Schizosaccharomyces pombe: one gene and its partners. The gene in region 2 interacts genetically with the main gene of each other region. Each region holds a gene or a part of one and is shown on either strand. Other genes may lie near its edges.

The links.
Region 1: mutations in rfp1 (region 2) and rfp2 are lethal when combined (synthetic lethality), as found in Schizosaccharomyces pombe (3 studies listed by BioGRID, with this or other methods).
Region 3: mutations in rfp1 (region 2) and brl1 impair growth when combined (synthetic growth defect), as found in Schizosaccharomyces pombe (one study listed by BioGRID).

The regions. Positions count from the first base shown.
Region 1 is NC_003424.3:1,678,023-1,685,546, reverse strand, and holds rfp2 (SUMO-targeted ubiquitin-protein ligase subunit Rfp2), read right to left. Parts: upstream 5,380-7,524; 5' UTR 5,134-5,379; coding exon 5,112-5,133; intron 5,059-5,111; coding exon 4,463-5,058; 3' UTR 4,076-4,462; downstream 1-4,075. Other genes in the region: bst1 (GPI inositol deacylase), read right to left, coding at 1-357; 1-phosphatidylinositol 4-kinase Lsb6, read right to left, coding at 1,720-3,594; wdr70 (WD repeat-containing protein), read left to right, coding at 5,579-5,848, 5,905-7,365. UniProt on the Schizosaccharomyces pombe protein: Mediates ubiquitination and subsequent desumoylation/degradation of sumoylated proteins and proteins containing SUMO-like domains. Involved in maintaining genome stability where it acts in the cellular response to DNA damage.
Region 2 is NC_003424.3:2,464,869-2,472,740, reverse strand, and holds rfp1 (SUMO-targeted ubiquitin-protein ligase subunit Rfp1), read left to right. Parts: upstream 1-5,431; 5' UTR 5,432-5,481; coding exon 5,482-6,246; 3' UTR 6,247-6,527; coding exon of another isoform or gene 6,528-6,628; 3' UTR 6,629-6,671; coding exon of another isoform or gene 6,672-6,863; 3' UTR 6,864-6,905; coding exon of another isoform or gene 6,906-7,295; 3' UTR 7,296-7,335; downstream 7,336-7,872. Other genes in the region: protein prl65, read left to right, coding at 1-147; nonsense-mediated decay protein Upf2, read left to right, coding at 798-3,947; transport protein Yos1, read left to right, coding at 4,422-4,449, 4,487-4,546, 4,597-4,698, 4,741-4,796; recombination protein Irc6, read right to left, coding at 6,528-6,628, 6,672-6,863, 6,906-7,295, 7,336-7,393; mRNA-decapping complex catalytic subunit Dcp2, read left to right, coding at 7,790-7,872.
Region 3 is NC_003421.2:2,234,221-2,242,654, forward strand, and holds brl1 (histone H2B-K119 ubiquitin ligase complex (HULC) subunit, ubiquitin-protein ligase E3 Brl1), read left to right. Parts: upstream 1-5,626; 5' UTR 5,627-5,754; coding exon 5,755-7,833; 3' UTR 7,834-7,934; downstream 7,935-8,434. Other genes in the region: erm2 (aminopeptidase), read right to left, coding at 1-1,759; rRNA (uridine-N3-)-methyltransferase Bmt5, read right to left, coding at 1,932-2,293, 2,417-2,903; transcription factor TFIIIB complex subunit Bdp1, read right to left, coding at 3,327-3,568, 3,613-3,760, 3,799-4,448, 4,499-4,990, 5,036-5,066; pep3 (ubiquitin-protein ligase E3), read left to right, coding at 8,285-8,434. UniProt on the Schizosaccharomyces pombe protein: E3 ubiquitin-protein ligase which belongs to the histone H2B ubiquitin ligase complex (HULC) which mediates monoubiquitination of histone H2B to form H2BK123ub1.

The DNA of each region.
Region 1 (7,524 bases), 790 kb from region 2:
ATAAGAAGGCCAAACATAGGACTTTCCGCAACCATTGTCCTGTGGACGACCTTGAAAAGAATGTAGAATAACTAATAATAAAAGAATGGCGATGATTGCAACATAAAGAGACCAGCTTCGTATAGCCTTAACTATAACATTCCCCTTTGAGATTTTAATTTCCTTTTCTATGGAAATAGAGCTAGGTGTTGAAGAACCAGAGCTAGTAACGCTAGGAATATCATTTTGCTCTAAATTAGGTTTCTCATCGTTTGAGGCTGTGTTGGCATTATTGCGTTTATAAAAGCCGCTTGAAAGCTTTGAATTGGAGATATAGTAGCCATTCACAGTATCTGACCTTCCCTTATCGTCTTTCATAGTTTTAAAAAACCGAGACGAAGAAGACGATATACGGGTTGAGCCTTGATACAAATCCAGGGCCGCTAATGAAAGTTAAAGACAAATAAAAGGGAAATAATAATTCAAAAGGCAAGTAAAACCTGTTAATATTTAAGACTCAGTTGTTTAGATGAAGTGCAAATTAGGTATCAACTGAAAAAGAAATTTCCAGTTTGCAAAAAATTAGACAGGTTACAACAACAGAAAAAAAAAACATATAATAAAAATCCTCGTAATTTAGGACATAAGTAGGAATTTCACAGTATTTCCCAAACACTGTTATATCTAAGTCCTTTAATCAATTTGTTGCCTCAAATGAAGAATCCAGCTCCAAAATCGAGGACTGTGTCAAAGAAATCAATTATTAGAAATGAAAAGTAGATCCTAAAGACTTGAAGGGAAAAAGGGACAGTAAGGAAATTCACTGTTTGTCTACTAACAATATAAACCTAAGAAATCAATGAAAGAAATTCATGCAACAGAAACAAAGGTTTTGTTAGAAAGTTTTTAAGTAGTATTATTTCAGCCACAATATGGAATTTATAAATTTTCGTTTAATTTTTTGATTATGGTTGGTTCGCACTAGACGTAAGGGCTGAGCTTGAATAGCCTCAACTTCGCCTTACTGAGCTGCCTGAATATCAACGTACAAATGTGGCAGCTTAGCAAGGATAACAGTTTACACTAACATTTTTTATTTTCTTCATAACCATTTGCTTTGTTTTATATTCGAAATAAATTATTGATAATAAGGATGTAACAAAACTTCATACATTAAAAATTGGTGTTCATTTCAACCTTAATGTTTGAAACAAACGTTAAATTGATATCGAAAAGCACGTAAGCGTTTTTGCAATGTTTAAACATATTTGATTGTAAACAGGCTTAAGAAATAGCACATTTTTTCCAATCATTCACAAGCAGTAGATCCTAATACTTAATGAATTGAACATTTTTGAATAATAATCTAGGAAAGAATCGCAAACGCAAAGCAATTATAAACTCAAACAGAACTAATTATGGGTAGAATAAACACAAAAAAAAGAGAGTAAACTGTAGCTAAAAATATAATAAATTTTGTTATCAATGGACAATTATGAGGATTTCAGGTAATGTCGGATTTGTATGGTAAAAAAATTAAATTCCTCAATTATGATTAGAGACCTTCATGTTAACCGCTAACATCAAACTAATATTAATAAAATAGAATGAAGTAGCAATAAAATGATGGAAAAATTAAATTAACAAGGAACTTAGAAAGAACAGGCGAGAAAATAACATATGATACCTTCAAAGACTTAATCCTCGGAAATAGTAGCATACTATTACACAAGACTTATATTAACACGTGCTAAAGACCGCATTGGAAGAAGCACACTGGAGTCTTTCAAAAATTACATCCTTTAACATTTTTGGAGATGAACTATCTTTGGACAACAGGGTAATATAATTTAACGGCAGAAGTGCTTCAGCATTTGACGAAAAAGACCGACCGGGTGTCGCTTGTAATAATTGGCTTCCTGGATAAGGAGGGAAAGTTTGTGAACATGAAGGGTGCAAAATACTCCCATAATCTCGTTTAATTGGTAAACCAAATTCTGCTTCTTCAGAATTCGCAGACGTTGGCTCATTTACTTCGATACGAACAACATCCTCAACAACATATAAATTAGGGAGCTCAAGTAAATCATAAATATTCATGAGGGGATTCTTTAAAACTTCAACAATATTGTAGGCTTGCCCTTTTACAAGTGAAAGTTGCCGCGAAAACATTTTCTCATCGAAATCTAAATCTTGATTGAATACGTTTCGTAAATCATCACTTAGTTTTTCCCACCATTCTCGGCTAGTCAACTTGTGTAAAAAGAGTTGCCTGGTAAACTCTGTAAAAGGTTGCGTAAATAAGGAGCGTGGTAAAGAGAGCCAACCATAAGGAAAGGACCTCCAAGAATCCGGATGTTTATAAGGGAATGCTAACGAATTATCTATCGCTCCTATTTGAAAATGTGGTCCCTTCCAAAAATCCGACGTTTGGGAAATAGCAGGGTCTACCGAGTTCGCAGACATATTAGGTGTTAAATTCGTAGATAAAAGATTAATTGATTTATAATATTCTTCATTATCACAGGGTTCGTAACAAATCTTGATCATCCAGTTATCCAAATTACGATCTGTATTACGCATTAAATAATCGAGCAAAACAAGTTTTTCAAATTCAAACCGGAATTTAAGGCGTAATTCTTCGGTCCAAAATTCGGTCTCAATTTCGTTCTCAGCTAAGAAAGGATCGAAAATGTCGAAGTCCTCGCTGGAAGCTACAGACTCCGTGTACTCTCGGGTTTCTCTATGTCGAGTACCAGGCCAGGGATGTTGAGCAAAAAACTTGGATGCAACGACGAAACCATCAAGAAACTGCTGAAAAGATCCAGTCTTTTCAGGAAGAGGCTTATTCCTTGTCAGAAAAGCTTTTCGTGCAAAATAATCATAATTGAAGGTTGGAGAAGAAATTGATGCAACAGACGTGTATGGAACTAAATACAAACCCAGACCTCTATCTAGAACACAAGCAGCGGCTTCTGAAAGATACGAAGTATTCGGAATTAGACAACTTCTCCCAAAAAAGCAAGGAAATAAATTTCGATGGAACCATTTCGTCCATTTAGGATTTAGCTTTCCATACGGTTCTTCATCTTTGGGTTTAAATACAGCTATATTTTTTTGGACTTTATTTTTCACAAAATAAGATCCAGAGGACCCCTTGGAAATAAGGACCGGGAAAACGCCGTGGGCGATTGCTTCCTTTGTAGCATCAAGGAGTCGAACGTAGTCTTTATAATCATATCCAGCGTAATGGGGGTATTCCTCCCAATGCTTTTCTGCATGCAAAACCCAAGAAGGAGCCATGAACACTGAATAGTAAACTCGGGGTTTTGAGATTGATTCAGACTTTCGTCTTCTTGCTTGCAAAGACTTGCTTAATTTGTTAGCCCATTGACCAAATTTTGACTGGGTAACTAGCCCTTTTAAGCTTCCAAAGACTTCATTTCCCTCATTTTCGTCTGGAAGAAGAAGACTCGACGAAGACGAACTGTTTGACGAAGCCCATCCATCCCTTAACGATTCTAAGGGATTGGTCTGTTCCTCATTAGTGTTTAAACTATTTTCCTGATAATTTGGAAAAGAATCGAGAGTATCTGAATGGAATGTCGATTCCATAACGCCCTGTGCAAGTACAGCACAAAAGCAAGAATCAACGAAACTCGGCTTTTTTAAAATAAAACTCTAGAATGACCGAAACGGAAAAGTGATACTATGATATTAATGAGCGTGTCAAATCACTGCTAACGTATCTCTTTCCCTAAATTGCCTAGCAAAGTCTCTGTTTTTACACTTGGAACATGGTTAGCACTTGAATCAACTGCTCATAATCTTTGCTGCAATGAGTAACGTAATGTAGCACACTGTGGGTTTAGTACGTTAAGCAGTATATATATATTATATATACAATGTTTAAATACTTGAATCGATTAGATACTGTAAATTATAAACAAACATTACTGTATATTTGAAATTCAGAAAAAACTCTTTCAGGAAACTCCCTTGAATATACTAAGATTTTTAGCTGAAGAATATTTTAATTTGCAGTAAATAAATAAATTCAACATGAAATTGAACATTACGAGAATTCCTAGTATCCCAAATAATACTCATCTAAATAGTGTATTGAAAAGATTGAATCCAGATTTGTTTTTTGTAGAAGGTTTTAGGGTAAGAAAAGCTCTAATTAATTTCCCTTGTACGAAAAATGATGAATCAATATAGAAAGAAAAGCAATTGTTTTTGTGTGATAGCCTCGAAGACGGGAATAAATAATTGAAAAAAGGGGAAATAATCGTCAATAATGAATAAATCTTTTCATTGAGGATAATAGAGCACCTTAGTTCTTATAAGCATTACAAAAACTCGTATCCTTTAAAACCATTACTGGTTATTAAAGCAAAACAAAACGTTCCAAAAAATCGCCAGCGTATTACTTAACCGCCAAATATCCTCTATGGATAACACTTAGTATCCAATCGATAAATTATAAATATAAAGGAAATATAAATTTTTTGGTTATACGCTTTCTACAATGTTGCACCGGACAAGGCACAGTCTTCTTGCGTAACTCTTTTGCACAAGTAGAACAAAATAAGTGTCCACACTTTGCAGCAAAAATGGATTTTTTCTCATCACTTACTAACTCATTTCCACATTTTGCGCATGCAATATTATTATGAGGATGGACATCATAACAAAACCCAGGTGGAGGAGATACCCTTTCGGCGATAGAATTTGATGAATCCTGAGCTTTTTTTCTTGAATTTCGAAACCCATTTTCAAGAAGGGTTCTCCGTTGGGTTTGAGACCTGTTTCTAGTCCTTCGTGCACCATAGAATATCCCCCCTCCAACAGCCACGGGAGGTCGAGTGACTGGAGAAGGAATAGAATTAATAGTTGGAACATTAGAAAGATTAGCGTCAAGGTGGTTACGGCTTGTACGAATCCTTCGACGAGGCTGGAACTCTGGTATTCTCGTTAAATCTAGCAAAGTAACTTCTGAAACATCCGCACCGTCATCTTCTATATCTTCGGTTAGGTCAATAACCTCAGGGCTTAACCTCTGATCCCTTCCTGGTACTAGAAACGTGTAGACGTTAACATATATTCTATAAACCGAAATTTTCACTTACATTCTAGTCCATGCAGATTCATACAACACAAAGCATAAACCTTTATTAAATCCCAAAGCAATTATAATCTTATCAGTTTTTTTTAATGCAACTTGTAGGTAAAATCGATCAACCCCGTGAAATTCAAATGATTCGGCATCACTGTGTGTTGAAGAAAAAGAATATGCACACTGCTATAAATCTTTATTTTTAGAGCGGCAACGAAAATATGTACTCCTCGTAAGCTTCAATGTAATCTTCTTAGGAGATAAATCAATTAGCAAAGCCTAAATCGCTAACTTGGGTAGAATGAAGTACGTAGTGCTGCCACACCCCACAACTCAGTAATTGAAACTTCTCACCCTGCACTTTTCGTTACAAAATATTTTGAACAACTTGTTGTCAGTTAGTTAAATGGCTATTTGAAAAAAATAATAGGGAAACAATATATCAGCCTCTAAAATTTTACAATATCCAGATTTTCGTAAATGGATGGCACAAATAATACAATTCCCTTACAGTTTGGCAAGCAAGCACAAACATACGATATAAATGCGTTAATTGCAAGATTCATAAGACCGAAAGAAAGCTTTTTGATAAACAGTGTAGAAAAAGAATCCGAATCAAAACTCAACTCAAAGAGTACTACTTTACAATCCTCAGACTCTGAGGATTGGGATAGCGAAGAGAATGAGGACGACATTACGGACGTTGGCGTACCAGGTTCGCATGAAATTATGTTTCCGGGACATTCTAAGGTAAGTTGATTTTGTAGTTTTCTGCTTTTACTACATTTTTACTAATTTTTGGTAAGATTGTTACCACTACTACGTTTGACAAAAATGGGTCACGTTTTTACACCGGATCTTTGGACAACACAATCCATTGTTGGGACTTAAATGGCTTGTCTGCTACTAATCCTCATCCTTTCAAAATTATCGATCCTACAGACACAAATGCTGACAATGTTGGTCGTTATCCAGTGAGCAAATTAAGTTGCTCTACTAAAAACCAAATCCTTGCATTGTATACCCATTCTCAGCCGATTTTATATGACCGTGATGGCTCGTTGATTGTACGGTTTAGTAAGGGAGATCAATATATCCGTAACATGTACAATACAAAAGGACATATAGCTGAAATTACTGATGGCTGCTGGCAGCCTGATAGCTCTCAAATATTTTTAACTACTGGGTATGATAGTACTGCGCGTATTTGGGATGTTAATCGCACAAAATCGCAATTGGAAGTTTTCGTCCATGTACCAGAAGGTTCTCACACCGGACTGTCTCGTATACCAGTTACAAGTTGTGCTTGGAATCCAGCAAAACCCGATAATTTTGCAACTGCTGTACTGGATGGATCCATACAATTTTGGCAAAAGGGTTCTCGTACTAAACGACCTGTTATGAAAATTAAGGATGCACATTTACCACAACAAGGTATTTCCTGTCTTAGTTTTTCACAGGACGGAAATTATTTGTTAAGTAGAGGAGAAGACAATGCCCTTCGTGTTTGGGACTTGCGAAATTCTAATAAATGTGTGAATGAGCGTATAGACATTTTAACTCCTAAAGCTGGAGGCAACGCAATATTTTCTCCTACCCAAAAGCTTATACTTGCTGGTTCTACAGCTGTCAATAGCATGAAAGCACCTTTATTCGTTTTAGACGCAATGACATTAGATACGAAAGCTACGTTATTCTTCGATTCCAAGTCGACGGTTACTGCTTCCGTTTCAGCTGTCTCTTGGAACGAAAAAATAAATCAGGTTTCTTTGGGGTCGGCTGATGGCAACGCATATGTTCTCTTTTCGCCTAATGAGTCCATACGAGGAGTTAAGGATGCAGCAATGCGCCCTCCTAAGTCGAAGCATATTGATGACGACTTATCTAGCACTGTGCATATAAACTCATTGAGTGGATCCGCTGGAACTTCTGATTTTGGGCTTGTAGAGGAAACGACTGAATCCGCATCAGCTTATTTTTTGGAAGCACGGCGTCGGCGCAATGCAGTACGCAAAGATCCTAAGCTTTCTCGGCAGCCTCAAGTTGGTCGCTTGCTAGAAGAAAACTCTGTCGATGACATTCCTTTGGCAACCATGCTTAATGAAGATCCTCGTGAGGCCCTTCTCAAATATGCTGACGTTGCAAAATCAAATCCTATGTTCACGAAAATGTACTCGGAAACTCAGCCAACTCCCATTTATCAAGGTGTTACAGAAGGAGATATTAGTTCTGAAGAAGGAAACCCTTCAAAAAAGCAAAAAAGATGAAAACTAAAGTTGAAAAAAATGAAAATCAACGTTCGAAAAGAATGTCAACATATTTAATGTGGGAAGATAGATTGATGGACTTATTAATATTTAGCGATGTTATTCAGCTTTACATAATGACAAAAAAGTTTAAGCTCTCGTATGCTTAAGTTATTGACG
Region 2 (7,872 bases):
CCTAGCGGTACCAGCACCTCAACAGGAGTTATCCAGCAGGTGATTAAAAACGATAGCGGAGAGGAGACTCGTTATGAAATATTGAACGATCATACTGGAAAGGCTGCTACCTACAAGGAGAGAAACATTTCTCGTATCCTAGACTAATGTTTTAACGATCTGAGCAATTTTTTGTTGAATATGATATTTATTTATAAAAGTGTTTTATTTATTCGAAGGCAATACATGGTTTTCTGAGTATTGCTTAATTACCCTTTCTGAGTATCAACAATTGTATTGAATTTCTGTTAGCACACTTAATAGCTTCAATAAATTGCTACTGTTACCTTTTTTTCCTTTTTATTTAAGATTGTTACACATCAACAGTAAGCGTAAAAGTGGAAACCGTAGATATATTTTCGTCAATCATAAAAGGTCCTTATCAAGATGATGCATACATCTACCTGTATTAACTGTTTTATTCTTCATGCCTAACAAATTATGTTTAAATTGTACCAATGCACAAACCTCCTATTGCTTCTAATCATCCCCAATTGATTTATTCCTCTAATATATGAAACTGCAGCAACAATATAGCATTTATGCAACTAAAATATAATCCAATACTGTTTATTCTTTTTTAAAAAAAAAAACCAGTATAATTTAAGATACTTGCCATAGTTACTTTACAATATTATTTCGTTGTGGAAGAGGACATGTGTCAAATTTATCTACTCACTTTACGCCAACTATCGTCGACTAGTGTTCTAAACAAGATATGAGAATTGAAGTGCTTTTCAATGCAATTTCGTTAAATTATGTCAAGAGAAGAACAAATAAAAAAACTTAATCAATATTTGGATAATAGAGAGCTTGCCTTCCGAGCCAAAGATGGTGACAAAAATATATTTCATACTGAGAGCCAGCTGGATTCTTCTCTAAAGAAAAATACAGCATTTATGAAAAGATGTAAGTCCTCATTAACTTCTGAAAATTACGATTCCTTTATAAAGGAAATAAAAACCCTGTCTTTGAAAAAGTTCATTCCTGAAATTACCGCCGCCATCGTAGAAGGAATGATGAAATGTAAAGCTACTAAAGACATACTGTCGTCAGTCAAAATTGTTTGGGCTCTTAATCTGCGTTTTTCCACGGCTTTTACTGGACCCATGCTGGCCAACTTATACTGTGCTTTATACCCAAACCCAGGATACTCATTGTGTCACGAATCATACTTTGAACTAAAGCAAAATGAAAACGAAGTTTCCGAAAAGGACCGTTCCTCTCATTTACTCAAAGTTAGACCGCTCCTTAGGTTTTTGATTGAGTTTTGGTTAAATGGTGTTGTTGGCACTCCTGAGGATTTCGTCTCTTATTTACCTTCTACTGATTCGAATGATAAAAAGTTTCGTAAGCCATGGTTTGAAGAGCAAAATTTAAAAAAACCCTTGGTGGTTCTGCTATTCAATGACCTTATGGACACAAGATTTGGGTTTCTCTTGTTACCGGTTTTGACATCTTTGGTGAGGACTTTTTCTTGCGAACTTTTCACTACAGAGGATTTTGAAGATAAAGAAACTTTAGAACTAGTTAATCGCCTTAATCCGGTTGTGTGGAGGACTTATTTAAGAAAGTCGTTGAATTCCTACGTAGACAAATTAGAGGTCTACTGCCAAAAGCGAAAATCTCTTTTTGAAGAATTAAACAAACAATATCAAGAGCAAAGCATTATAAGGGCAGATCCAAACAATGAAAAATTCCAGCGCCTTGCTAACTTTTCAAAATCGATCGAGTCTGAATTTTCTTCTTATGCTTCTCTTTCAGAAGTATTGAATAGAAAAGCTTCCGAAGATCTCTTGGAACTCAACTTTATGGAAAAGGCTTCCTCTGGAACTAATAGCGTGTTTAATGCATCAGGCGAAAGGAGTGAGTCTGCCAATGTTGAAACGGCTCAAGTTTGGGATGATAGAGAGCAATATTTTTTTTACGAGGTGTTCCCAAATTTTAATGAAGGTTCTATAGCTGAAATGAAAAGTAGCATTTACGAATCCAGTCAGGAAGGTATTCGTTCTTCATCTGAAAACAATAAAAAAGAAGATGATCTTAAGGACTCAACGGGCGATCTAAATACAACGCAAGTAAGCTCAAGAGTTGATAACTTCTTGCTAAAATTACCCTCCATGGTTTCCTTAGAACTCACGAATGAAATGGCCTTGGAGTTTTACGACTTAAATACAAAGGCATCTAGGAATCGACTTATAAAGGCTTTGTGCACTATCCCTAGGACATCGTCTTTCCTTGTTCCTTATTATGTTCGATTAGCACGTATTCTTTCTCAACTTTCATCAGAGTTTTCCACTTCATTGGTAGATCATGCAAGACATTCGTTCAAAAGGATGATTCATCGAAAAGCTAAGCACGAATACGATACTAGATTGCTTATTGTTCGTTATATTTCTGAACTTACTAAATTTCAGTTGATGCCTTTCCACATGGTTTTTGAATGCTATAAATTGTGTATAAATGAGTTTACACCATTTGACTTGGAAGTTTTAGCATTACTTTTAGAAAGTTGTGGGAGATTTCTTCTTCGTTATCCGGAAACCAAGTTGCAAATGCAATCGTTTTTAGAAGCCATTCAGAAAAAAAAATTGGCTTCTGCGCTTGCCTCTCAAGATCAGCTTGTACTAGAAAATGCTTTACACTTCGTCAATCCGCCAAAGCGTGGTATCATAGTTTCAAAAAAAAAATCATTGAAAGAGGAATTCTTGTACGATTTAATTCAAATTCGTTTAAAAGATGACAATGTCTTTCCGACCCTTTTACTGCTTAGGAAGTTTGATTGGAAAGACGATTATCAAATTCTGTACAATACAATTATGGAGGTTTGGAATATAAAATATAATTCTTTAAATGCTCTTGCTCGTCTGCTTAGTGCGCTTTATAAGTTCCATCCAGAATTCTGTATTCATGTGATTGACGATACACTGGAAAGTTTGTTTTCAGCCGTTAATAATTCCGATCATGTGGAGAAGCAAAAAAGATTGGCACAAGCTCGATTTATATCTGAACTTTGTGTCATCCATATGCTCGACGTGCGTGCAATTACAAATTTTTTGTTCCATTTACTACCATTAGAGAAATTTGAATCTTTTTTAACCATGAAAGCGTCAACATTAACCAATATTAACAATGACATGTTTCGATTAAGACTTATTGTTGTAGTTTTGCAGACTTGTGGACCATCAATCATCCGTTCAAAAACGAAAAAGACGATGCTTACATATCTATTAGCTTATCAGTGTTATTTTCTCATTCAACCAGAAATGCCTTTAGATATGCTTTATGAATTTGAAGACGTGATAGGATATGTGCGACCTAGCATGAAAGTATACATGCATTATGAGGAAGCCAGGAATGCTCTAACGGAAAGGCTTCAGGCCATTTCTGATGATTGGGAAGAAGATGATACACGTCCAGTATTCCAGGGTGCTAATGATGGTGATATTAGCTCGAATGAAGAAAGTGTTTATCTGCCGGAAGATATATCAGATGAATCTGAAACAGACGAGGAATCATCGGGATTGGAAGAGTCTGATCTGTTGGATAGTGAAGACGAAGATATTGATAACGAAATGCAATTAAGTAGAGAGCTTGATGAAGAGTTTGAGCGCCTAACTAATGAAAGCTTACTGACTCGTATGCATGAGAAAAATCCGGGATTTGATGTTCCACTTCCTCTTAGAGCTTCTAGCCTAGGCTCTCCATATGTGACAAGAAATGAGGAATCAGCTAGCGAATCGTCGCACGTGATGTTTACTTTATTGACCAAAAGGGGAAATAAACAGCGTTCTCAATATTTAGAGATTCCCTCGCATTCTTCGTTGGTCAGGTCTACCAAGAATCAGCAAACTGAAGAAATAATGGAACGGAAACGTGTTAAAGAAATGGTTTTGAACTTCGAATAAGAGAAGCTCTTGTTTATCTTCGTCCTCTAAATACCGAAATTCTAAGCCATTGCTGGTAAATTACCTGCTTCGTTTACAACTAGAATAGACGAACCTTTTGTATAATATTTAGCTTTTTCATTACCAAATCAAAGCTTGCAATTTACTATGGTAGCCTTCTTTAATTATTTACATTCTAAAATATGCAAGCTAATTAGGTACAATACTTTATTAATACCAATTGAAAAACACTGAACAGTTCACTAATAATATGTTCGAAGCTAAGAAATTGATACATTATTATTTTCAGGAGATTTTTTATTATCTAACATGTAAATTTCTAATTTATAGAAGTCTTTTTGCTTTCAGTCAAAGGTGAAAACCATAACTTGCATAACGATACGTAATATGCTGCTGTATTCTGGCATTAAATCACTACCAAAACCTTTAAAAAAAAATATTGAACTTCAATTGTATTAAAAAGTATCGAGCATTATGTTTGGGTTTGGAAATATATTATATGGTAAGATGTTTTTGAACGCAGCTTTCTAATTTGTTAGTCACTTTATTGCTTTTAAACGCGGTTGCTATTCTTTCAGAGGATAGATTTTTAGGAAGAAGTATGAACTACAATTTTAACCAAATATGTTGTTCTAATTATTGAAAATAGTTGGATGGTCCCAAAGTGCTGCCCTGGGATTTGGTGATCGACAAGATACTATCAAAAGCCGAATTTTGCATTTAATTCGAGCTATAAGAACTGTCATGACTTGTAAGTATTAAAAACTTTATAATTTCTAATTTTAAATTTTAGTCCCTCTTATTGCCATAAACACGATTGTTATTGTTTATAACCTCGTCTTGGGATGATTAAAGGCTTTACGAATCTTTGTTAATGTCGCTCGCTTTTGATGCTGGTCTAAAAGCAGTGTTATCCATTATTTGATTTATCATATTTATACTCAAAAAAATTCAAGACAGGAACTTGATATTCAAGCGCTGATGTTCCAATTACTCATTTGTGAAAGTTTAACTTCAGAATCTAGCGGATTTAATAAATACAATCCTAATTCTTCAACAATTGTACTATCAAATATCGTCTAGTATTTTAAATTCATTTTCTGTGCTTTAATAAAAAATCCATATCGTCTACTAGAGGCATATTTTTTTGGTTCTTCTTGCTAAATTAAGCTCGTAAAATTCCTCTATTCGCCATATCTTCTTTGGCGTTTGATCTTCTCAGTAAATTATCACATAAGGTCATTTCCTTTTTATAAAGATAATGTGTAAACAAAGAAATGCGACTTCTAATTTACGTTTCTTTACTAGCCATTAGTTTATAAATAATAAAGCATACTGGACATTGCCTTAAAAATGCACCGAACTGTTGGTCTGCGGTATTTTGATATACAGCAATACATTAGAGCTTTATATTAAATAATACCGTTTCGTTAATATATGCAAGGCCAAAATATATACAAATAAATCGACTTAATTTTTTGCCCGTTGTCAATTACTTGACAGGAAACAATTGTGTATCTTTTTTCACACATCAATGCAATTTAATGGAAGCAATGGAATAGATGAAAGCAGTGTAATTGATTTGACGAGATCACCTTCTCCACCAGTCGAAACTTCTATTTCTTCAACAAATATCATTGATTTGGATGCTATTCCTGATGACAGCTTTCCATCATCTCCTGTTCTAAGTCCTCGAAGAAGGCGTATGAACCGGAGAAGGAATGAACGGTCTCGTAACTTTCCTTCAAATCATTTATCGTATTTGGAAGACATGATTTACTTAGGTCCTCAGGTGTCCACTCGTCGTTCTTCTTCACGTCGAGATTTGATGGGAATGATTGCCAGGACATTTCCTGAGTTTAGTTCTGTTAATTCCTTATCCCCTTCTCTTTTCCAGTTGATTGTGAACCGAATGAGATTTGACGCTATACATCCAGAATGGACTAACGGTTCAGACGACGAATATTTCTCTAACCATTTTGAAGAATCATATGATGATTTTACTTCTTCTTTAGAAAATATAAAACAGTCTTACAAGCCTCCAGGCCCTCCAAAATCTGGATTTACTAGAAGCTTTAACAATGATACATTGATGGTTTGTCCAAGATGTCAGGAACCATTAGGAACATCCAAAAGCAAAGAGAAATCTGCATTATGGGCAACAAAGTGTGGTCACGTCTATTGTGGCTCTTGTGCAAAAGTTTTGAAAACCAGTAAACGATCTCAGTCAAAATGTCTAGTGAATGACTGTGGCCGTTATTTAAATACGAAAAATGCCATGTGGGAATTATTTTATTGACGAACCTTGTACATTGAAAATGTAGTCCATTGTGTTGGATTTATAATGTCTATAATAATGAAATACGACCAAAATTATCACAATTTGTGACTGAGCTTTACTTACGAATTTTTTTTAAGTTGCTAATAGGTCCTCTTTCAATACAGCAGATTTAGATTTTAGTAAAAAATACTTTGATAAAACTTAATTGAACCTTTCTTGCAAACTCAAATAGTTATTATACATCAATTTGTGCTCCAGCGACAACATGTATTCTCCGGATACGAACAAAGGCCTTGTTTCTACAGCGATTCATAATCATTTTCCTCGAATTCATCGCCTAACAATTTTTCTAAAAGATTTAAAGCCTTGGCCTTTTTCTCATTTTTTTCCAGGTCAGCATCTAAATTTCGTTGTTAGTTTAGTCGACTCAAGGAGTTACCAACCTCTAATTTGGTTCATTTCTTTCATCAAATTATCCAGATCCGTCGATTGCATGTCTGGACTTCCTTTGAATCGTTCCGGGAGATAGAAATCTCCGGCATCATCCTTTTCTTCCGAGAAACTTTTATCAACTTGTGACAAGTTCCATTCGCAGCAATCGAGAATTTCTCGAACACGGTCCAGTCCTACTTTCTCTAAAGAGACTTGTTAATAAATAGAAGATTGGTTGACTTTACCATTGAATTCATTCACTCCTTCCTCGCTGATAGAAATATATTCTGGGGTAAACACATCAGGTGGTTCTAGTAATTTTTCATCTGACATGTGCAACCCAATTACCGGAATCTCTAGCTGTAGTTTATCTATAAAATTTTTAAAAAGAGACCACTCAGCTTCATCAAAACTTCGAAAAGTATATACAATGGCACCTAAGCTATCAATAACTTCCTTCGCTTCTTCAGAACTATAAGCATCCAAAGTTTCAGCTAAATTAGAATATTCTTCAATCCAAATACCAACCGAAGCTTCAAAATATTTATTTCTGATATTATACTTATGAATCAAGCCAGAATGATCATTGTTAAATGCCTCGTCATCTAACCCCTTCGGTAAAGAACCCGTCAAAGCTTTTCAATTAGTAATTGCAAATAGAACACTAATATTTACCCTTAATAAAATCTAGCTTTCCAGAATTAGAGCGACCTATAACCAAAATAACTCGCATATGATTTTATGTACTTAGCAAAAATTAATTCGCTTTTTTATATTTTCAATCAGTTCTGTAGAATATTAAACAAGTTTTTGGTGGATAAATAAATTCTCGAAAGACCTAAAGGTAAGGCAAATTGTGATTTTAACTACAGTCTAACAGTTTAATGAAACAAGGATTGAGCAATAGTATAGCGCAGTGTGATACATTCCTAAATCAATAATGGTTTAGTTTATCACTAACGAAGGTTGGTACGTAATTTTACGTGTCCCTAACTCTGTGTTATACGCACACGCATAAATGGCTTTAAATACCAAGACGCACAAAAATTAAAGTTGACGAATTTGTCGTGCTTTGGAGTGACTTAGAATTTTAAATGCAAACAATAGACTACTATATATTAAAAGAAATATGTCGTTCACAAATGCCACGTTTTCGCAAGTGCTGGATGATTTATCAGCTAGATTTATCTTGAATTTACCAGCAGAGGAGCA
Region 3 (8,434 bases), on a different chromosome or scaffold from region 2:
TATCGTAGCAAAGAAATACTGGAAACGGAACGTTAAAAATAAAATATATGACAGTCCAAATGTTGTCAATAAGCTTTACATGTGCTCTATTTGACAATGCTATGGAATTTCGACGATGAGGAGTAGAATTCAACGTGCTTCCATAGTGCTGATGACTACTAGTATTAATAGAGGAGCCAATCAGTGCGTCTTCTTCATGAGTAGTTTGTGTGGTTACTACATTGTCTACAAAGTAATTAATTCGAATTATCGTCATTATACAGCAGGTAAAAGTACAAAGGTATGAAAGCGTCACCCAATATGTAGAACCAAGCTGAAAGTAAATGGATAAAATAACCGAAACAATAAAAACCAAGTACCATAAAATTTGAGCGTACCAGATAAAAACAATTTCGATGGAACTAAGGTCTTCAGAAGAAAGCTTACTGTGAGTCGCAGCCGCCCTAAATGAAAACGCCAAAGCAATTAAGTTTGTGAGATAAAATAAAGCAAGGATTAAACCGGTATGAGAATTGATCACATAAGGATTTATCCATGTTAACAATAATACGGTCAAGGTATCAAATATGGAAACAAAAATACAGGAAACAACGAAACAAACAGTATATCTAGGCTTCTTGAGCTGCTCGTAAAGTGAAGGAAAGCGAATTAAAGTTAATAATAAAACAATCGGGCAAATGACAGCGAAAATTATGTTCAAAACTTGATATATAGGTAAATTCAATTGCCAATACTTTCCAAAAGCAAGAAAAAACATCGGTTTACGAAATTTAGTTAAGTCTGACTTAGAGTCGTTGAGTAAATTTTTAACAGCATTCGACGCAGTGTACATCATATGTCGAAGTGAACTGGGCATTAGGTGATTAATGTCATCTTTCCTTGTATGATAAATATCTCTATTCTCATAAAAAGCGATATCTAAGCCTGCAGTATGATTGTGCATTTTCTCATACACAATGTAATCAGTTTGACTTCGAATGACACCCCTCTTGAAAAAGTCGTTACCTAATATCGAAGCGAGGGGATAATGATTTCCTTTGAAGTAGGCGCTACTGACATGTCCATTGCTTGACCGAAAAAGCATCGCTTTTCCACCTGAACCGGCTCCTTCCAAATTGACGAAAGCAGTAACGTTTTTTGAGAGTTTATGGGAAGCAAAAGCTTTAGCACCAAAAAGATAATCCTCCTCAGCATTGTTTATGTTTATTATCAAATCTCTGTTCGGTTGATTTTTAGCATAATATCGGGCAATCGCCATCACAGTTGCAACTCCCATACCATCATCAGTAGCACCATAGCCAGTGGATACAGAATCAAAATGTGCTGACAGGAGTATGGGAAACAAATCCTTCGATTTCCCTTCGAATTTAACAAGAATGTTATCTCCTTCAAAATATGTAAGAGTATCGTTGTCAGTCGATTCGAAAGTAATGTTTGTTAAAGTATCATCGATAACTGTAATATATGATTGATTTGTAGCTTCCAGCTCTCGCATACTTTTTAGTATGTAGGATCGAACATGTTCATTTTGCTTGGAATTATAGGGATGAGGCAAACTTGATATATACTCTAGGTCATTCCAAGCTCGTTGAAACTCCAAATCTTTTAGCAAATTAGGTCCTGGAACTTGGGCAATCCGTTTCCAATCTAATAGATATAAGATAAGCAGTACAGTGAATCCAAAAATCGAGCAGGTTAAACTGGACTGAAAAGCCTTAGCACATATGCGTTCAAATATATGCCGTCTAGAATTTGTCATTACAAGATATAATTCGTAAATAAATTAATTAATTAATGAAGATTTAAAGGAATGTAGATTAATATATGGCGTTGAAAAAAGCACGTTGGTAGTCGATATTGACATCAGCCAATCTCAGTATTACTATATACAGTATCTTCTGCTATTCTCAAATTCACTTAGGATAAAAACCTTAGGAAGAATCACTTGAATCATCGGAGAGCTCACTACGCTTCCTTTTTTCCTTCCTCTGGTTGTAAGGCTTTATATTACTTCCATTCACCACAAAGCAATAATGTCGTGAATCTCGCAATTCACCTTTCCATGGCGATCTCTCGCTGATTCCATCAATCCAACCGATAGTTCTTCTGTGTGAATATTCGGGATAAAAAGAAGAGTCAAACTTTTCAGTCATCAGACTCGTATACCCTGCATCCTTGGCTAAACCTTTCAAATTCCACAAAGTGTAAGGTTTGGTCTCCGCTAAAGTTATTACAATTACGCCTTTTTCTGACAGAAGGAATTTAGATGCTTTAAAAAAGGCAAGAAGCATTTCTAGAATTAATTAGCGATATTCGAGATATGTCTCATTAAAAGTAATAAAAGCTATTATGAACGGCGTTTCCAAATTTATTTTTTAAATTATTTACGAATAAAAAACTTTAACTTCAAACTTACTTTGATTATCCAAAATGTTGCGGTCTTGATCCTTAATTCCTTTCCCCGAGTGAGGAAAATTCCAAAATATAGTATCAAATTTTTGTGTCTTAAGCTTTTTATGCAGATGCAGTTTCGTTGCATCAATTTCATGCATAACCTTTCCCCCATTTATTTCTATTTTTGAGATGTATTCAGCAGCATCTGGATATTTCTGCTTTAAATCTTCTTTAGAGTCATAGCTGGTAGCTAACACAAACCCCTCAGATGATACATGATGTAGCAATAATGAAAAAGCAAACGAAAAGTTGCCTTCTCCCAATAATAGAAATCTATTGTTTTTTTCAAATGGGAGTACATATCGCTCAGTGGGGCCTTTGTTCTTCCCTTTTCCAATTTTGTCGTTTGTTAAAGAATTCTGGCTATTTATACTTGACGAACCAATAGCATTATTTAAATTTCTTTTTTGAAGACGTCTTGCTTCTTTAAAACGAGCCTTTTTCCCCATATGAATGAAAACGATTGTTTTCAATTATTTGGCTAAAGACACTTCACTACTCGTGGATACAAATTTAGGTGTAACCCAATGTTCTCTTACTCGCTTGCTTAATCTTTAAAATAAAAAGCGAGTTAAACGGAATGTAAGAATAAAAATTTTCACGACAAACTAGCAATAAGTAAACTAGTATTTTCTCAATGAACTGTTTTGATATATCCTAATTTAACTCTTGCTTAATATATCTTTAGAAACAAATATACATCAGTTTAGTGAAATATACGATATATATGGTGAAATGTTTGCGACATTAAATAAATAGGTTCAATTAAACTCTATAAGAAAACTTCAAAAAAGATCTAAAGAAAAATTAAAAACAGAAAAAAAAAACAAATAACAAAAATTAATTGATCAAACCACAAAAACAAAACGAAATTAAACCACTTGCCCGACTACCTCGACTCCGTCCTCAAATACATAAGACTTATCGTCGGTTGGAGAAGGCGCATTCTTTTCTTGCTCTAGCTCATGGTTGACGATGAGCTGTCTTTGTTCTGCAACTTCAATTGCGCGACGTCTTTCCTCTTCAAAATTTTCACGAATTTTTTGCAATTCTTTCTCCATTTCTTCAACCGGACGAAACACCTTTCCTGAAACTTTACTATATTCTTCCATATCTAATTTAAATGGTTATTATTTGAGTACTCACACAATGTCTTACCAATAGGTTTTTTAATTTTCAAAGCTTGATTAACACGTGCAGGATTTCTTCTTTCTTCTTGTTTAAACTTTAGTTTTATCTGTCGACGATTACGAGTTGGAAACATATTAGCAATTAAAGCAAAATCAGTTCCCCACTGTGATAGAGCCTGCCATGTCAGTAAATACGAGCGCAATTCCTCCATACCTTATAAAATTTTTCAGTATCCATAGCGTTCCATTTCTCAGGTTTCTGCCTATTTCCCCAAGTAGCACTTGTAACCCGACGACTTAAAGAATTTTCTTCAACGTATTCGCGTTCCTCTGCTGGTACAAAATCACGTTCATGACGGTCGACTTCTAGTGAGGTTTCATCCAGAACAATTTGGCCATTAACAACTCGCGTACGAGGAGTTGCAGAGTAATTGGAGTTGTTATTCAAACCATCAACTTCCATTTTATCTGCTAACTGATCAAGAATAGACTTTGTTGGGTGAGAGAGACTATCTTCGAGAGAAGCAGACTCATCCGTACCCTCTTCTTCCAAACTTCCTACTATTTCTTCTTTCTCTTTCGGTTCGCTTGATTCTAGAAGACTGGCACTCAAAGGCTGTTTGATGGTAGAATCTAAAGACGCTTCTCGACTAGAGCTTGCAGTACTTGCTCCTTGTTTTTTAATCCTCTTTGCTCGTTTTTCCTCAAAAAGCATTTTTTCTAATTCGATAAATCGTTGACTTTTGCGGCCAATTCCAGGATCATCACATAAAGCAGACATTTTGGTTTCACTTATGTTAATGATTTTCTCGTCGGTACCCACGTTTTCCAATATCAATTGACTTTTTCTTTTCAAAGAAGATTCTATGATGTTATTAAATAATGCATTTTAGATTAACCCTTTATTTACGTACCTCTATATGAACGGCGAGACTTTTTTGTAGCCGGAGAATCCGCCTTTCCGTCACTAACAGCACTGAGCTGAGAAAGGGGAATGTTCTCATCAAAAAACAAATCTAATTCCTTCATAAATTGCTGTTCGGCTGAAGAGGATAAATCGGTTTCAGGCGACAAATGCTCAATAGCATTTAACGGCTGCTCAAGAACCGTTGGCTTAGAAATTTTAAAAGTAGGATTTGAATGCAAAAGTTTTTCATTTTGTTTCACTGAATCATCTTTTCTATAGGATGAAGCTGTGGGATTTTCAGTTGCCTCTTTGTGAACTACTGTTTGCACAACCGGACTAGAAATATCAGCATTGGCAGTATCACGAGACAGCTGAGCGGATGTTTCTACTTCGTTTCCTGTGAGGGGTTGATTTTTTTCTTCATGAACAACCTCTTTTTGGTCCGATACTTTCTCTCTACGGGCTGTAAATTTAGGGGCAAACCTTGACATTGATTTTTCTGGTAAAACATTAGTGGAAAGCCCTACTACTTAAAAAAACGTACTTGTAGGTGAGGTTAATATTTGCGAGCTCATTGAGTCTGTTTAGACTGTAACTTCGACTCAATTGCATGAATTTCAAAAATTATGTGGCAGTGCGCATATGTTTGTACAAACATTTGCCTGTTGTCCATGAACCAGTAATATTTTAATAAAGAGGTTATATCCTGGGTATAACTGTACAACGAAACCAAGCAAGCCCGTCTGAATAGATTAATATATATGTGTAAAAAGTTTTATAGTCGCAATGATTGAGTAAGATATAAAATTAACTAAAGGTAGAAATAATCAGGGTCAGCCTCGAACAAACTTAGTTATTATAAAACGCTGGAAATGTAAGCTATAGTTTACAGATAAAGCAAGAAAATACTTTACACTAATATGAATAGTAGAATAAATTCAGCAATTTAGATAACCACCGAAGGAATTGAAGAAGCCATTGTCGTTAGCTAATGTTTATTTTGTCATTGCCAATATTAATTATATTATACAAATTACTACTTCGTAGGCGACTTTAAAGACAGGCATAACTAAGGTAAAGAAACATATTATTATAGCGAGGAATCTATTTGACTCACTAACGAGACATGACTACCATGTACAGATAACCTGAAAAAACTCATTAACCGTAGGAATTGGCTTAGTGAATGTTAATGAGCACATATTTTGATCCTAAGTACTTTATTTTAATTATAAAATAGAAAAGGAATTTTTTTGAAGTGGAATGAGCGTTGTGAATGAATCGAGGAAAAGAAGACGTCTTATTCACAGCGAAAAAGAAACGCGTCGTTTAGACCTCGGAGAAGAAGATGACTTAGAGTTATTTCAAAAGGAAGCAGCTTGGCGAAGATCTAGAGAGTATGAGCATCTCACTGTTTTGGAAAAGAAATTATACGAGTATTGGGAATCTCTAGTTTTGAAACTTGATCATTACGTTGCTGCTGCTCTGGAAAATCATGAACAATCATTTGAAGAACTAGAGAAAATCACTGCTTCTTTATATCAACCTGATGATAATTTACAGACACTAGATTTGTCACTTGCTGAGTTCAGTTTAATCAAAGATGCGCAAAACTATTTGAATAAGTATGCTTCCTATTTTCAAGCCCATGAACCTACTCTACAAAAGTTAGCTAAATTTGGTTCTTTTAAATTAAAAGAAACTCCAAACGTCCATGAATGGATAGACCAACGCCAGGTTCATTTTACAAGTATGATTAATTACCGTACTAGCCAACTTAAGTTGGCACTCCTAAAAAGGAAACTTTCCTTCTTTCGTGAAGCTTTGAATTCAGCTGAATTAGAATGGAAACGGGTGCAGCAAGATCAGCTTACTAGTGCTTCCGAAAGAAGTATTGAAAATATCGCTGATGATATCCCTGCTTCGGAACCAAAAGCAATTCTCGAAAATGGGGAAGGATGTTTAAATGATAATGATAATATTTCAAAACTAAAAAACAATTTTCAATCTCAAGCTGATTTGATGCAAGCAAATATAAATTCCAAATTGGATGAACTTTCTCAAAAATCAACTCGTGCAGCACAATTGTACGTCGACATTATGGGTATAACGGATGAAAGAGTGAGTAGAGAGCCCCATTATTTAGAGCTGAAGGGGGTTCTTTCTTCAAATGAAGAGAAAATCGAATCCATTAATCGGGACCTCTCTTCATTGTTTGAGGACATTCAGTTTTTTATTTCTCAACGGACGAAACGACAGAAGGATATTATTGATTTAAAATTGGCATGTGTAAAAGAGAAACAACAACTTATTAAAACCCTTGAATCATCTTTAACCCAAATTCGTAACGAACGAGACTCTCTAGTGGCGAAACAACAAATGCAATATACTAACAATCTATTTTTTGACGATATGATGCTTTTATTAAGCAACTTGTCAAACGCTCGGGTTGCAATTCTAGAAGGTTATTCAAATCGATTGTGCATATGGGATCGTATTGAAAGGTCTAAGACTGGTGAGATGAATAATGTCCTAGATGAAAAAGAAGAAATTTCTGCGTCTTCAGCTTTGGAAAAACTAATAAAAAATAATAGTTGTTTGGAGGCTGAACTCCCAAGTATGTATGCAGCATTTGATCAATCACAATCTCGTTTGTTGAAGAAATATGAAGAACTTGAAACGAAGGAGAAAAAAGCTTTGGAAATGCATTATGAAAAGGCTCGTGCCACCCAAAAATATTTTGCTGCCATGAAAGCTCGGGACATTCTTATGACAGAGAAGAAAACTCTTAAACTGGCCGAAAATAAAGAACATGATTATATAGGGAAGTTGCAAGAGCGAGAACATGCGCTAACAAAATATGAATCCTCTTTAAAAGCTGAATTGGAAGTTTATAAACAAATAAAGGAAATCTACGGGAAACACTCGGTCGAAGTTTTAACAGAAGATAAGCACTTACAAGTTAAGCAAACAAAACTTACTCAAAAACTTGAAGATCTTATAGAGTCTGTTCAAAAATCTGGGGAAAAGCTTATGATCATGCATCAGAAGTTGTTTCATTTGCAAGAAGAGCATACTATTTTATCCATAAAAGCTTCGTATAATAAGAAAGAGTCTCATCTTATAAACCAGGCATATGAAACACAAGAGGCTCAAGTATACAAAGGAATGTTAAAATGCTCCGTGTGCAACTTTTCTAATTGGAAATCTAAACTCATTCCAAACTGTGGTCATGCCTTTTGTTCTAATTGTATGGAACCTTTTTATGAGCATAAAACAAGTACATGTCCGCAGTGTGAAACACCTTTTTCGGTTTCCGACATTTTGACCATTCATCTTTAATTCTAGATCATCTTTTATATGATTAACGTAATGTTTTTGTTATTTTGGTACATAATATATTTTTTGGCATCAATAGTTATTGAAAGAATAGTCAATCCTATATACATATATATATATATATATATATATTTATTTATTTATTTACATATAAATATGTATGCTTTTTTTAATAAAAAACTAGTAATATCTATCAATTTGATTAACTTATTCCATTAAGCAACTTCGTTCATTCATATGCTAGTTTCGCAAGTCTAGCATCATGACTCACTCTCCATTATCCATGTGCCAAAAATAGAGGGTGTGTATCTGTAGCGACTGTAACTAGCGAAATAGGAAACAATTAATTACTATTAATTATTTTTTTAAATATTGGTAAATTAATTTATATTGGCAGCGGAATTATAATAATTCATCTCATTTTCTATTGATACGCGTGCAATCCCATTGAACAATGAGTCTGGCCGAGGATTGGATTGATCCTAATTCTTCTGAAGATTCAGATATTCAAGAAGATGCGGAATTGGAATACACAGCTGATAATCCCGAAAAGGAGCAAAGAGGTGTATTTTCCTTAGAGAAGGTGCAACTGCAGTTCCCTGTT